2 linked regions of the Tamandua tetradactyla genome follow. The protein of the gene in region 1 interacts with the protein of each later gene in a biochemical or structural test. Links are inferred from orthologs where the notes say so. Each region holds a gene or a part of one and is shown on either strand. Other genes may lie near its edges.

Region 1 (7,335 bases):
TGAACTTGATGTCTCCTGGTCTTATTGATATATTGTTACCAAAGTATATTAAACAGGTCTCTGTTGTGGGTGAAACATTCCCTCCAGCTAGCCTAAGAAAAAAAGGGGGGGGGGGAATTGATTTTAAGTCTACAAGGGTGTCTCCTGGAATCCATGGGCAGGTATGTAGCCAGGCCTCAGGTACAGGTGGTACCAAGGCTTGGGAGCCTCTATCTCTCCTCTGCCGCCCTCTGCATAACCGCTTCCTCCCTGCAGACCAGTCCCCTCTGCTTTCCCTTCCCAAGACGACCATGCCAGCTGTCACCCCTCTCAAGGACCTGCTGCCCTCGGTCAGCGTGCACCCTTCCAAAGACAGAAGCGCTGCCAGTTATGATTCTGGCAGGTGGAAGGTTAGGAAGTAGATTTACTAGGTAAGAGAGGGAGGGACCAGTGTAGAGATCCTGACAATGGTCTCTACAGGGGTGGAAAGACAGACTGTGAGGAAGAACCTGGCTCACTCCATCCCCGAGATACCAGCAGACGAAGCAAACTGACAGGCACCAAGCCAATCATTTTACAGTTATCTCCTTTCATCTTCACATCTTAAAAAATCAGATGAAAGTGTGACTAATTCCACTTTACAAATGAGAAAACAAAGGTCACAAAAAGTTACATTACCTCCCAAGGTCACAGAGCCAGAAGTAGAGAGGCTGGAATTCAGCCTGTGGATCTTTCCACTCTTCCATTGTCCCTGGCACCTGGGTCAGCACCATAATCAGTAGTGTGGCTTGGTCAGAGTGCCTGCTCTGGGTGTCTGCTGTGATACCAGCCTGGTATCGTCACAGGTGATTGTGGAAATGACCACGGCTCCAGAACAGCAGGATTTTCAAACATGGCCCATTGCACCCACTTACTCAGATTCTGCTCAGTCCGAGTTAAATGAGGCCAGTGTCAGTGGCTGACAAGCAGTCCCCTTGATGGCAGAGGCAGGGTCAGGTGAAAGACCGGGTAGCCTGGTCTCCTGAGACAAGCGGGTGGTGGTGAGTCAGGCTTATAAATGCCCATGGCTCCAACCAATGCAGCCCCAAATATTCAGCTGACAAAACCCCCTGTAAGCCCCTCTGGGTGCCCCTGCCTGGCTCAGGGAGGAACCTATCAGCCTTCCTTGGGGAGAGGAGCCCAATTGGCAGGCTATAGGACCAACATTGTGCACGGTCTGTTCCGGCCCATGTGGCTGGGCCTGGGGCCTGGGCTCATGGGCTATATCGGGGGCTGAGTCACCAGCCTGCGCCAGGGTCAGGCTGACTGTGACTGGCTGGCTGGAGCCTGAGTCAGGCCCCGATTTATCCTGGAGAGCAACAGGCTCAGGTTTCTCGGGGGATGGGGGGGTGACGGGAACCATCCATGGGCACTCTGTACCCTCCTCTCACTCCCCTGGGGCAGACACACTGCTCTCTACTGGAATGAGACAATGAGTCAAAGGGGGAGAGCCAGGGGAGGCATGGGGGGCTATCCTTGAGAGTTATCTCTCCACTTGTGGGCATCAGTCTGAACTCTCCCCTGTCAACACTGGCCCCCAAATGACTCAGGAACATCAAGGAATGCCCACAAAACAGGAATAGGAGCCGTTAGGGTTTATAAAGAGGCTGTCAGCTTCAAGCAACTCCAGCTTATCCCTTGCGCTCAACAAGGGAATCCAGCCTTTATCAGAGTTGTACATCGGTTTCTCCACCAAAGCTTCAAGACAACATCATTGAACCCTAAGCTCCTGGCACCTCAGAGTTGGGTGCCAGAAGTCTGCCCTTACACGCACACACACACGCACACACACACGCACACACTGGCACACAGTTCCTTGGTGAGACCCAGCTATGTTCCCCCAGGAACTGGGAATCTCTCCACAGGAGAGCTCAGCCTCTCAGGTAGATGGGCAGCACTGGTGCCTGATGGGTGCTTTGGGCCACGGGATGAAGGTTGCTTGTGGGTAATGAGAGCACTGGAGATGGGGAGAAAGGGGTTTGCCAGCAGGAGAGTAGAATTCCTGAGCACCTTGTCACAGGCAGCCGACAGAACATGAGCTGCAGGGCCCACGCTATTTATACCTCGCCTGTCACTATCAGGGCCCCCATAGCCTGCCCCCCCACCCCAGCCACACACAGCCTGGCCCTTTTCTGTTTCTGGGCCCTTCTCTACTCCTCCCCCCTCCCTACTCAGGCAACCAAGCAACCTCATTTAATGAGAACGAACAGAAATCACTCATGACCCCTTTCACTATAAGCACTGCCCCCATTAAACCCCCAAACTTCTCCCTCAGCTCTTTAATGAAGAGTGCCCTCATTCTGCTCTTGGGAAGAGAGCCCCAAAGATAACCACAAGCTCGTTCTTTTTCACCCAGCCTGGGGAAAAGAGAGGCAAAAGGTAGAATTAGTCATTTATAAGGTCCCAGAACCTTCTTAAACCTTCTCAGTTGTTATCACATACATGGCTTGTATCACATACAAGACACTTCTCAGGCTCAGACACGGTCTCCTACCCACTCAGTTTCCTGTTGATGAAGTGAGGGTTTGCCTACTTCTTCCAGAACCTCTCACCAATTCACTACCCCAAACTTACTGGGTCCAGGAGGGATGGGAAAGCTGAGGAAGGATGGCCATAAAAGGCAGACCAGGAGGTATGGAATACATGTATGCTACAAAATCGCAGAATATATATTCTCTTTATAAAAATATATCCTATAGCTCTTTTTTTTTCATCTCAGGTCAGCTCCTCTGTGTGGATGCCTCAGTTTCCCTACCCTCACCACTCCCCAGGCCTCCAGCCATCCTTGGCTTACCCCAAGCCTAGCCCTGCCTAGCACGTCCTGGCTGGCTCCCTCGGGCTCTCCCTGACCACTCTACCGCTGCCCACCTGCCTCAGTCACGTTCCCCCTTGGCTGCTCTGGGCAGGGCTCTCCCTGTTTCTGTCAGTAATCCGCCTTCTCCCTAGAGTGATCTGCCTTGTGGCCAAAATGGGCACATTGCCCAGGGGGCTCTCTGGCACTAAAGAGGCAGTCTCTCTCTCCCCACTCATCACCTTGGTTGAGTCAGACTTGAGCTGGGGCGGAGTGGGGGTGGGGGTGGCACAGTGTAACTCACTGGGTACCTTTTTCCTGAGCTCAGCTTCATTCTGAGGGGATGAGGCCAGATGGGGCTGGCAGCAGGGGCACTGAGTCAGGGGCAGCAGCCTCAGTCTTTGCCTCTGGGTTTGGGTCCCAAATGAGGCCTTTCTACCTGTAAAGTGGAGCAATGAGGGAGGTGCCCCCCACCCCCTGCCGCGGAGTCCACCATCCCCAAGCCTTCTTCCTAAGTGGCCTGGGCAGTGTCCTTGCTTCCTCTCTGTCCAGGTCTACACAAGCTCACAGACTTCCCTTCCCTATCCACAGGTGGACAATACACTGGGCTAGAAGCCAGGACTCCCAGGTCCGGTCAACAGCACTTCCACCAACTCATCCAGAAATTCTAACACGACATCCGTGTGTGTGTGTGTGTGTGTGTGTGTGTGTGTGTGTGTGTGTGTGTGTGTATGTTTCACTCTAACCACTGGCCTCAGTTTCCCCATTTATCTCTTGAGCTCCTCTGCAGTGGAGCACATTTCATCTCTGACTGACAAGGCTTAGTTTAGGGGTGTTGGGTGAGGATGGGTAACTTTCGCCCTCATTCTCTTCCACCTTCGAGGGCCGCTATCCACCTCCCCAGGGCGGCGGCTCCTCGGGGACCCCAGCCCCCCTGGTCCGCAGACTCGGGCCGGTGTGGGGGAGGGGCGGGAGGCCCCAGCTCCCCTCCCGCCGCCCGGGCCGCGTGGGGGAGGGGAGGGGAAGGAGGGGACGGGGAGGCGGGGCCGTTCCGCTCCGCGTGGCCCCCACCCGCGGGCCGGGCGGCATTCCTGGGAGGCCGGCGCTCTGACGTGGACCCGGGGGCCGCGGGCGAGACAGGGGGGCCGCGGCCCGGGGGCTTCTTAAACCCCCCGCCCCGGCCCGGCCCGCACTTCCCGAGCACCGCTCCGCCCCCGGACGGAGAGAGAGAGAGAGAGAGAGCGAGAGAGAGAGAGAGAGAGAGACAGACAGACAGAGACAGAGAGAGGCCGAAGAGCCGAGGAAGCCCGCCGAGCCCCGCCAGCCAGGGGCGCCAGAGCAGTTGGAGAGCAGCGCAGTGCCGAGCGGCGAGCCCCGCGGTCGCGCCCCGACAGCGCCCGACAGCACCCCCCGGGCCGCCCCGACCCCGCCGCGGACCCCGACCAGACACGCAGCGCAGCCCCTGCCCCGGCCCGCGCCAGCATGATGAACAACAGCGGCTACACGGAGGCCTCGGGCCTCGGTCTGGGCGACGAGGTGGACGAGATGCCGTCCACGGAGAAGGACCTGGCGGAGGACGCGCCGTGGAAGAAGATTCAGCAGAACACGTTCACGCGCTGGTGCAACGAGCACCTCAAGTGCGTGGGCAAGCGCCTGACCGACCTGCAGCGCGACCTCAGCGACGGGCTGCGCCTCATCGCGCTGCTCGAGGTGCTCAGCCAGAAGCGCATGTACCGCAAGTTCCACCCGCGCCCCAACTTCCGCCAGATGAAGCTGGAGAACGTGTCCGTGGCCCTCGAGTTCCTGGAGCGCGAACACATCAAGCTCGTGTCCATCGGTCAGTGCTGGCGCCGAGGGCTCGGGCACGGGGGGCGGGTGGGGGGAGCTGGAGGGGAGGGGAGCGGTGCCCTGAGGGCCGGCCCGTGCGTGGCAGCGGGGCACAGGTGCTGGGTGGGCGCGCGGGGAGCTCCGTGGCACCGTCGGGACTCGCCCGGGCTCTGCCTTCACACCCCTCTCAGGACCCGGGGCACCCAGGCGAGTTCAGACCTAACCATTCCAGCTTCAGCTTCCCCACACCCGCTCCAGCCATTCCGCCTCCCCTCCTAGTCCACTTTTCTTCCGCGGCAGGACCCTGGCCCCTGGTTTGAAAGGACAGGGCTAGTGCCTATTGCGGATTCCTGGGGGCATCTGCCCCCAAACAAAGCACACAGCTTCCCAGCTTCCCAGCACCTGCGCCTGGGGAGATGGGCATGAGGGCAGGTCCCAACCAATGCCCAGCTTCCCCGGCTCTAGGCTGAAGGCGAGCTGGTGGCCCCGCCGCTCCCGCCGAGGCCCAGGGCAGGCATGTGCTCAGCAGCTGGGCTCAGGCTGGGGGGCCAAGGCAGGCAGGGCCCTGCCTCAGAAACCTAAAAAGGCACTGAGTGAGCGCAGGGAGCCTTAACCCCTGCCTGTCCTCCTGCTTCTGTCTGCTGGGGAGGGGGGCTCCCACCCCTGCAGGCCCTGCCCCAGCCCTCCCCCTCAGCCCGGGATTGGCTGCAGCTAAAGGTCTGGACTGAGGGGAGGGAGGACAAAGCCTGTAGAAGGGAGGAAGTCATTGAGTGTAACCAGATTTGGAAGGTGTGTCAGTGCTGTGTGGGGGTGGGGAGGCACTCTAGGCTTTACAGCTGAGAAGAAGCCAAGGATGGGCTTTGAGTGGCAAGAAGTATCCTCTCCCCTCACAACCCTGCAGCCATCCAAGCGGGCTTCCAGGCCTGGGGAAGACCTCTCACCCCTGTGGTGAGGTCTGAAGAGTTCTGCGTTGATTTACATGAACGGGCCCCTTGTGGGGATACACCCCGGGACCTCATGAGGGGAGTTTCACGTAGGGCCAGGTAACCTAGAGCCTCCCCGCCCCCCATCTCGCTGCTCCAAGAGATATACCCAGATCATTGAATGCCCACCCCCCTCTCCCCCTCAGGGCCATCTCTAGGTCTCCTGAATTAGCAGCTGAGGTCAGTTTAGGGCCCTTTGCCCTGCTAGGCCCCTCCCTCCACCTTACCCCCTCCTACCCCAGTGCTCCCCCCTCTACCTCCCACCCCACCCGCCTGCTCTGGCCTGGAAATAGCCCTGCCTCCGTGACACAGCAGATGTCTCTGAGCTTTCCAGAAGGACAAACTTGAGGGCAGGGGGTGGGGGAGGAGGTGCTGGTGTCTGTAGTGGGGCTGAGGGCTATGTGAATGGGGGTGGGGGTAAGGAGACCCCCTGTACCCTGGGATTGGAAAGGCGAGACTGACTGTCCCAAGTGGGGTCTTTGGGACAGCTCGAGGCTATTAGAGGAGATATTAAAGGAAACTGCTCAGACTTCCCCTCCTCTCTGGGGGCTGCAGGGACAGCCCACTGCCCATCTCTAGGCCTCATCCTTTCAGAGCACACCTCTCCCCTCCCCCTTGATGGTTACTGGCTCCAGCCCCCTTGGCTCGACTGTGCAGGGGCGGGCTCAGAGTAGAGGAGGAAGGAGCAAAAGCTGGTTTGGGGGTGGGAGAGACTCTCCCTCGGTTCCCACTGAGAGGAAGGGGAGCTGTTCCCTGTTCCGGCCAAGTGGCGTCCTCGCGCTGATGAGATAAACTGTCAGCAGTTCAGCTGCAGAGAGGCTGAGGCTGGAGGGGAGGGGGTTCAGACGACTCCGAGCTGATGTAAAGGGCTACCCATCCGGTGGGAGCCTCCTGCCTCCTCTAGTTCCCGCTGTCCCCTTTAGTGGTGGAATGAGGAGACATTGTCTCAGACTAAAATTGAGCATCTGAGCACATTGGTGGGAGGCCAGAAAGACACACTATTTCCCTTTCTAGAAGGGAAGTCAAGGCCTGGGGTGGGAGCTGGGAGCTGGGACGTCCACCTGAAGGAGGGGGTATTCAGCTTGGGTTGGAGAAACTGTGTCCCCTTTCCTATGCCTACCACCCCCGTATGGCCCCCACTGCCCCCTCAGCCCCTCCAAACAAAGGGGCCTATGAGGCAGCTCTGTCCTGCAGCTGTTCCCCAGTTGCTATTCCTTCTCTTTGGGCCAACAGCCGAGGGAGGGGCTGGAGGGGACAGCAGCTGTCCCAGCCCCTCCCTCAGCCCAGCTCTCTCTCCTCCTCCCCCTCTACTTGAATCCTGGGGTAGCCTCAAGGACTGGCTGTCTGACTTTTCCCGCCCCCTTTGGGGGTATCCCCAGGCAGGCTGAGGAGTGGTGGCATGGGAGGATATAAGGGAGGAAGCCTAAGCTGAGTGAGAGGAGAGGAAGGGCATTGCCCCCAGAGTGGGACTCTGGGCCCCTTGCTGGCCCTCTCCTGCCCCAGGCTGTGGACCACTTGCTGTTTGGCCCAGGGCCAGTTGCTGGGGAGAAACCTCGCTCTCTGTGACTGTGAGTGATCACCGTCCCCCACACGTACACATACACTCCTCCCAGCCCGGCAGCCTCCCATGCCCGCCCTCTCAGGGGTCTGTCTCCAGCTTCCAAGAGGTACTTCTGGATATGTGAGCACCAGTTTTGGAGGCTGTCAGGGTGGCGA
Region 2 (7,327 bases), on another chromosome or scaffold:
AAAGGGAATTTGGACTCAATCTCTCCGTGTCAGTGAGACTTTAGACCTGGAGAGACCTTTAAACACGACTATTGTCATCCCACACATTTCAGAAATGGGGAAAATATTCAGGAAAGGAGAGTTGGGACAGAGCTGGGACTCAGCAGCCCTGAGTCCAGCCCAGCCTCGTTCCAGCACCTTTCTGCCACTTTCTTATCAGCCAACTACTTTGGGGATGCCAAACACTGTGCAGTAAAGTAGCCAGGAGCCACACGGCTTGAAATGGAACTAGTGCAACTGAGGAGCCACATTTCTTATTTAATTTTAAATCATTTAAATTAAAAAACTGATACCCGATTCAGTTATTGTAAAATGTTTAAGTGTGTTTGGATGACTTGGGCATCTGTATTTCAACCGTAACTTTTATCAAAGCTAAATATGAATCAAGTATTTCCGATGAAATTTTAGTATCCTGGTTGAGAGGTATTGTTAGTGCAAAATATACACTGGATTTTGAAGACAATTTTAAAAACAAACGTAAAATATCTCCATAATTTTTATGTTGGTGATATGTACAAATGATAATTTTTGGAAATTTGGGTCAAATAAATCATATTATTAAAATTACTTTCACCTCTTTCTTTTTGCTTTGTTCAGATGCCGTTACTAGAAAAAAATCTGAATTATTGTGCAGCTCGCATTATTTTGGTAATGGACAGTGTGGGTCTAAATGTTCAAAACAACCCCCTGAGGTGGCCCTGTTATTATTATCCTCATCTCACAGAGAGGGAGTTAATATGTCAGATGGTGCCTGTGTCCCCTGCCACCCCCAGAGTCACCCCCAGCTTCGATGGGCACTCCCTGTACATGCAAACACTCCCTACCTCAAACACTTACGTCTCTCTGTCGGAGGGGCAGACAAGAAGCACAGGAGAGTTGGCACTTCCAGGAACAGGGTGGGTGAGGGTTGGGGTTTAAATGCAACAGTGTCTTCACCCGTCTCCCGGAGGGTCCGCCGTGGGATGAAACCCCAGCAGCTCACAGAGGGGGCCTGCTCTCCTCCTGCCCTGACTGCCTCCACCACTCCCTCACCATCTTGCCCGGAATCCCCTCCCAATTAAACCACTTGCACCCAAATTCAGGTCTCAGCCTCTGCTCTCGGAAGATGCACACCAAAACCCTGCAGTACAGAGAGACCAAAGACTAGTGACTATATATAAATAGTAAGAGACAGGCTGGCGATCTGATCCCAGACAGCGTGACACCACATCTCACACTCTCAAACACCACCCAGGAGCCAAAACGTTCCTATGGCAAATCTGCCCAGGCTTTGAGCTGACCCCAGAGCAGAAAAGTCCCATTTCTGAATCCCTGGGTTCACATGATTTCACTGAGAGCCTGAGCGGACCCCTCCCCTGCAAGTCTGGAACAGACCCAGCTTGGCCTGCCCAGAGCAGTGGCCCTGGCACCAGTGTCTGCTTCCCGCTGGGAGCAAAGCCAGGACCTCCAGCCTGTACCTTGTAGGACACTCGCCTTCAGACCAAGAGGATGCACTAGGCTCTGTGACCTGGAGAAAGTGGGAAGAGCCGAGGTCCAGGGACAATTTATTGTGCTTACTCATTTATTGAGCTTAGCACGTGCCAGGCACTGTTCTAAATGCTTTTGCTAGATTAATTCATATAACCTCCACAACAACCCTTTGGGGTACATGCGATTATTAGCACCATCTCATAGATGAAGAAAGTAAGGAACAGGGGGGTTAGGTAACTTGCCCAAGTTGAATCCACACAGCTAAGTTCAGGCGTCTGGGTCTTAATCATTCCTGGATCCTGTGCCTTCTGAAACTTAAGTTGAGTTGCTGCTCACTACTCACCTTGAAACCCACTTTAGAGTACCCAATTCTGCAGGTGCTTGAGACTCTGACCAAATCCAACGCTGGTGGAGCCCCACCTGGAGGGAGGCATCCTTGTCCTGGGAAGCAGTAGACACCAGAAGGAGAGATTATTGTAGCTAGAAAGCAGCCACTCTTCCCAGCCCACATCTTCCTCAAAGCCCTTTGCTTTTCAACAGAGATCCTTTAATCAGCACAGTCACTCAACCTCAGTGTATTTATTCCCAGCCTGATTTGAGATTCCCAAATGATTTGAGAGGGTTTAAAAGATATGTGCACAGTATTTCCACCAAAGATTCTCTGCCTGGTTGCTGCCTTAATGGCTTAGTAATAGATACTGTGATGTAGTGACACTATTAGATCATTACACTTAGAGTTGACCAACTTGTCCTAGTTTTCTCAGAACTTTCCCACTTAAGTCCCTAGTCTTGAGAAACCTCTTAATGCCAGGGAAACAGGGAAAGTTGGTTACCCTTGTTCTACAGGATGCAGGACATAAAGTCTATTTGATCAAAGAGAACTAAAAATTTATCTCAGAGCTTCCTAGCAGCCAAAGCAAAGAGAGAAATACTTCATTGTGAGAATTTTTGGTGTCTACAATAGCACTGTACAATAGACCTTTCTGCAATAATAGACATATTCTGTACTGTCCAATATGATAGTTACCAGCCACACATATCTATGGGGCACCTGAAATGTGGCTTGCATGATTAAGGAGTTGAATCTTTATTTTATTTTATTTAAATTTTAATAGCCACATGAGGCTAGTGGCAATTATATTGGACAGCATAGCTGTATTAGGTAGGCGCTATTTCTTGATATTAAGGCCTGAGAATTTTCTGCTATGAATTAACACATCTGAGGTAAATGCAAAGGGAAGTTCATTTTCTATACATATAATAATAATATACACATGCCACGTGCTAAGTCCTCTTGTAAACATTTTCAGATATGAATTCATTCCATTCTCAAAACTGCCCTAAGGAGGAGGTACTTTCAGCATCCCCAGGGAGAAGGCCCCACCTGGGTGACTCTGAGGGACCTACGCCCCTCCTTCCCCGACCTGGTGGCCTGAAAGGACTGTACCTTGGGTCTCCTTCCCTTCCTAGGGAGAGCCAGGAGCTTGAGGAGCAGACGGGTGGAATGGGGTAGAGTGGGGGCAAAAGGGCACAGGAAGAGAAGAGGGAGGGAGACCAGGGACAAGGGTTTCCAGACACCTCCCTGAGGCTGACGCTGCAAGACTGACATTGACTCAATGGAAAAAGTGAGCTGTGTCTGGCGTCACCCCTGGCACCCATGGCATCTGGGGCGCCAGAAAGAAGACCCCATCCTGCCAGGCAACAGAACGTGCCTGCATGCCCTTAGACACGGAACCTGGGACGGGCCTCCCACCCGGGACAAAACACCATGGATGGTCCCTGACCCCCTTCATCCTGACTCCTTCCTGGCCTGAATGCCAGGACCAGTTGAGCCTGCGAGGGCCCTCCAGCTCCGGGCAGCCAAGGAGGGGGCAGGTGTGCCCCCCAGCCCCACCCCTGCCTCCATCTGTGACTGGGAAGCTGATGACTCCAGGGTCAGAAATAACCCCAGAGTCAGCTCCCCATATGCCTCCCCTCCCTCCCCTCCATTCCCAGAAAGTCTGGGCCCTGAGTCAAAAGGAATAAGAGTAAATAAGGACCCATATCATCTCATACAAAACCACAAAACCATTCCTGAAATTCTTTGATAAATCAGGGACCTAGTGAGGAGTTGGGCCTGGTAGTTCAAATGTCTTCTCCCCAGATCCGACACTGCCCAGGGTTGCACAAACCTGGGTTAGTGAGCCTGGAGAGGAATGGATAAGACAGGGTGAAATCTTCAGTGCAGAAGGGAATGGGGGAGAAGGAGAGCCGGGCCTAACTCTCAGAAGCATCCAGGACAAAACAGGGGTGGAGGGGCCTGGCCGTGCCCTCAGGGGGCCTCCAGTCTCCGGGCAGGAAGATACACTCATGGGATTGGTCAGAGGTCAGTCCAGAGTAGGAGATGGGGATGCTCGGGGATGGGGACACAGGCTCTCCTGATGTCCCCTGCCCCTCCTTATTCATTTCCTCAAAATAGTCTGGGACACCCCCGACCCACCCGTGGCTGAGTCACCGGGTCCTCAGGTCGCCCCCAGGATGAATGAAGGCCTCTCCCCACCCTCCCCCTCCGCAGTAGAAAGAACACGTAACTGATTCCCCGGGATGGAAGAGCGACTTCCACAAGCCTAAAAATAACCCAGCCACTTCATACTCTGAACTTAGCCTCCCCTGACCACCCCCACCTGGCCCACCCCCCCCCACCCCCCCAGCCACCAAGATAAAGGCAGCTGCTGGGACTGGCAGGGGACAGAGACCCAGAGCCAAGGCGGCGAGAAGGCCTGAATTAGCAGTGCAGGACCAAGCCCGGACGCCAAATACAGAGGGACAACCGACCCCCGAGAGGCACTTACCACAGACTCCGAGCATCCATTCGGCCAGGCAAGACCCTCGTGTGAGTAGCCTGCCCCTTTGTCTTCCACAGAATCCTCTCTGGGCCCTCTGGGTAGGCTCTCAGGACAGCAGGAATAAGGGGTGGCTCTGGGCGGAAGAGGGCATTTGGGGACCACATTTTCCAGTAGTACAAGAGGAGTCTCTGACATCAGGAACCCATGAGGGGGCTAAGGGAGAGTTAGCAGGAGTCCCATGGGAGCTCTCAGAGGGCTGCTAAAGGCCTGAGGTGGGGAGCAGGGCTTTAGGGGCCCAGTATCTGAAGGAAAGAGGGTAGAGGGAAGGAGGGAGGCCAAGAGAAAGGAGGCTGGGGTGGTGGGGGACCAGGAACGGTAAGTAGGCCTAGTCTGCTTTACCAGGACAAGCCCCCTGCCCAGCTGTTGTGGGCAAAAGTCTGGGCATATTCGGCCCCAGGAATTTCTCCCCGGGGCTGGTCTGAGGTTTGGATGAGCCCTACTCCCCACATATTGTGGTCTAGAAGCTGGGGGCGGGGAGGAATGCAGCGTCTGCCCGAGGCCACTGTCTTGACAGTGGGAGGGCCCTAGGGGCAGATCTGGGGTGCTCATAGCTCATACCAAGGAGACCAGATCTCAGTCTGTGCAGATGTAGATGTGTGGAGGGATTGGGACCACAGAAGGGGGTACCTAGGCACAAAAGTCGGGGCATCCTGAGAGGCTGGCCCAGCCTAGGAGGCCAGGCTGCCTAGGGGGCCCCCACCCAAGTCTGGTCCCAGTTTGAAGTCTGCCTTCACCCTACCCTCACCCTCTAGAAATGAAAAAGCCCCAGGAGTTCCCAGACCAGGCAGGGGTGAGAGCAGGAAAGCCCAGAGTGAGGAAACCAGTTCCCAGCTTGACTGGTGCCTTGCTGGGCAAGGACTCCTTGGACAGTAAGGGAATTAAATCTGGTGACCTCTGAAAGTCCTCAGGCCTGACATCTCTGGAGTCCGTGATTCGAACAGTTAGTGACCACAGCAGAGATTCTGGAGATTCCTGGGGGCGGGGGTAGGGGTGGAGTTGGTGGCCTGCACAATGCCATCTGCTGCAGCTACCCGGGTGCTGATAGGACCGAGTAGACGTGGGGACAGTGCAGGTTTGCCTTTGGCAGGGGGTCCTCATAGAAGCTCAGTGACTAAAGAAACCATCTAGAGGGCTTGATGAGGCTGCAGGTTCAAGGGGTTTCCACCTCTCAGGGGCTTAGTTGTCTTCATGGACCCGCTGGGAGTTAGGGTGGGGCAACACGGTCTCCTCTTCCTGGCCCCATTCCCACCTGCTTCCAGTGTCCCTGCACCTAGCCTCTTCCCCAAGCCTCTTTGGCCAGTGGATGTTTCTAGGCTCCAGTAGGGACAGGACTGCAGGGGGGCAGAGTTCAGGGGCAGGGGGGCAGGACTTAGGGAGTCCAGGATAGCAAAGGAGATGAAGTGGGCCAGGGGCTCCCCCTGCCCCCACTGGCTGAGCTTGGCCCTTCCTCCCCAGCCCAGGGCTGCTGCCTGAGGCCAGGACCTTGGCTATATTTAGCACCGGGGTAGAGCAGAGCAGTGGGTCAGGAGCAGTCGGAGGAAGGGACGTGCTTCTCATTCTTTCCCTGCTGGCCTCTAGGAACTTTAAGTATACCTGTCACAAGACAGATAAGGCACACGTGGGACAAAGACCAGAGACGGGCCTGAGAGGTGGAGAGTAGTGCTGGGGAGAGGCTGCATCTTGGTGAAAGCTAACTGACCTGAAAATGGTGGAAGAAAAGGAATAAAATGCCACATCTGGGGCTGGTTGAGGGGTTAGGGGCAAGGGATGAGAGACACTGAGGGCCCAGAGGCAGGTCTGAGCCTGAGGTCCTAAGTGCCTAAAACTGTGCTTGCCTGCACAAGACAGGGGAGAATTCTCCTTGGTCAAGGAGCAGGGCTCTCTGCAGAACGGGCCCCTGGTCCCACTGTTCTGCCCTCCTTATGGGTGTCTCCAAGAGGTGCCTGCTAGAGAAGATAGAGGCACCACGGTCAATAGGAAAGTTTCACTCCCGCTGCCCTTTTATTTCTTGAGGGCCAGGCCCTAAATGGGGTCTGGGAATCCTGAGCCAGCACTGCTTGCCACTCATTCGCCAGCATCCCACTCTTTCTGGACCTCAGTTTTCTCGCCTTCAACTGCAAGGGGCTGGGCTCCACGACCCTTGGCTGCCTCCAGCACAGACCTCCTGAGTCTTTGGGGTACAGCACAAAGAACCCTGACCAGGCATGCAGAATCTGGGTCTGCCCACCCACAAGATGCCCCTCCTCAGTCCTCAAATGCGTCCACTGTAGCACCGGCTGCAGACCCCTGCCATGTACTCTGTGGTCCTGGGAAATATTGGAGAGTGAGTGGAGAGTCAAAGGGTAAATGTGCCACAGAGACGCAGTCAATGTGGGATGGGCGCCCTCTGGTGTTCTTCAGAGGAATTTCATCTCCGTGGGAAATCAAGTCATCTGTGTAGGGTCCCACCTTTTACCAGCTGAGACTAGTAAATCAAAATTTCCCCAGGCACTCATCTGGGGGTCCTCCAGGGAAAAACAGACTGACAAAGGAAGGCAAGAGTGGGGAGTGTCCAGTTTGCCGACTGGACACATCGCACTAAAAGAAGGAGCCTAAATGCCAGTGGTGAACTGCTTGACCATGGGGAAGCAGAGACCCACCTTGCTGGATGACTCCATATGTCTAAGGTCAAGGCTTGTCATGCACCCACCATGCAGATGGCAGAGTGAGGCTCAGGCCAGGTAAGCCTAAAGACAGAGTGAATCTCCGGGCTTGTATCGCCATGAAGTTACTTTGCCCCGGGCCCTCCCCCTGCCAATCCTCCCAGCAAATAGCCCCCACCCCATCTAAAGCCCACGGCCCCATGCTCACTTTGTTCCTTCTCCTTAAAAGGATGTCCAATGCCCAGATGCAGGTGGCCCCCACATCCAACATCCCAATGACGACTGCAGAAG

The links. The genes of interacting proteins can lie anywhere in the genome.
Region 2: the proteins of FLNC (region 1) and XIRP1 form a complex in vitro, tested with the Homo sapiens proteins (2 studies listed by BioGRID and IntAct, with this or other methods). The link is inferred for Tamandua tetradactyla from reciprocal best matches to the Homo sapiens genes FLNC and XIRP1.

The regions. Positions count from the first base shown.
Region 1 is NC_135327.1:170,249,214-170,256,548, forward strand, and holds the start of FLNC (filamin-C), read left to right. Parts: upstream 1-4,260; 5' UTR 4,261-4,291; coding exon 4,292-4,646; intron 4,647-7,335.
Region 2 is NC_135341.1:48,017,023-48,024,349, forward strand, and holds the start of XIRP1 (xin actin-binding repeat-containing protein 1), read left to right. Parts: upstream 1-4,251; 5' UTR 4,252-4,381; intron 4,382-7,265; 5' UTR 7,266-7,266; coding exon 7,267-7,327. UniProt on the Homo sapiens protein: Protects actin filaments from depolymerization. Required for correct cardiac intercalated disk ultrastructure via maintenance of cell-cell adhesion stability, and as a result maintains cardiac organ morphology, conductance and heart beat rhythm.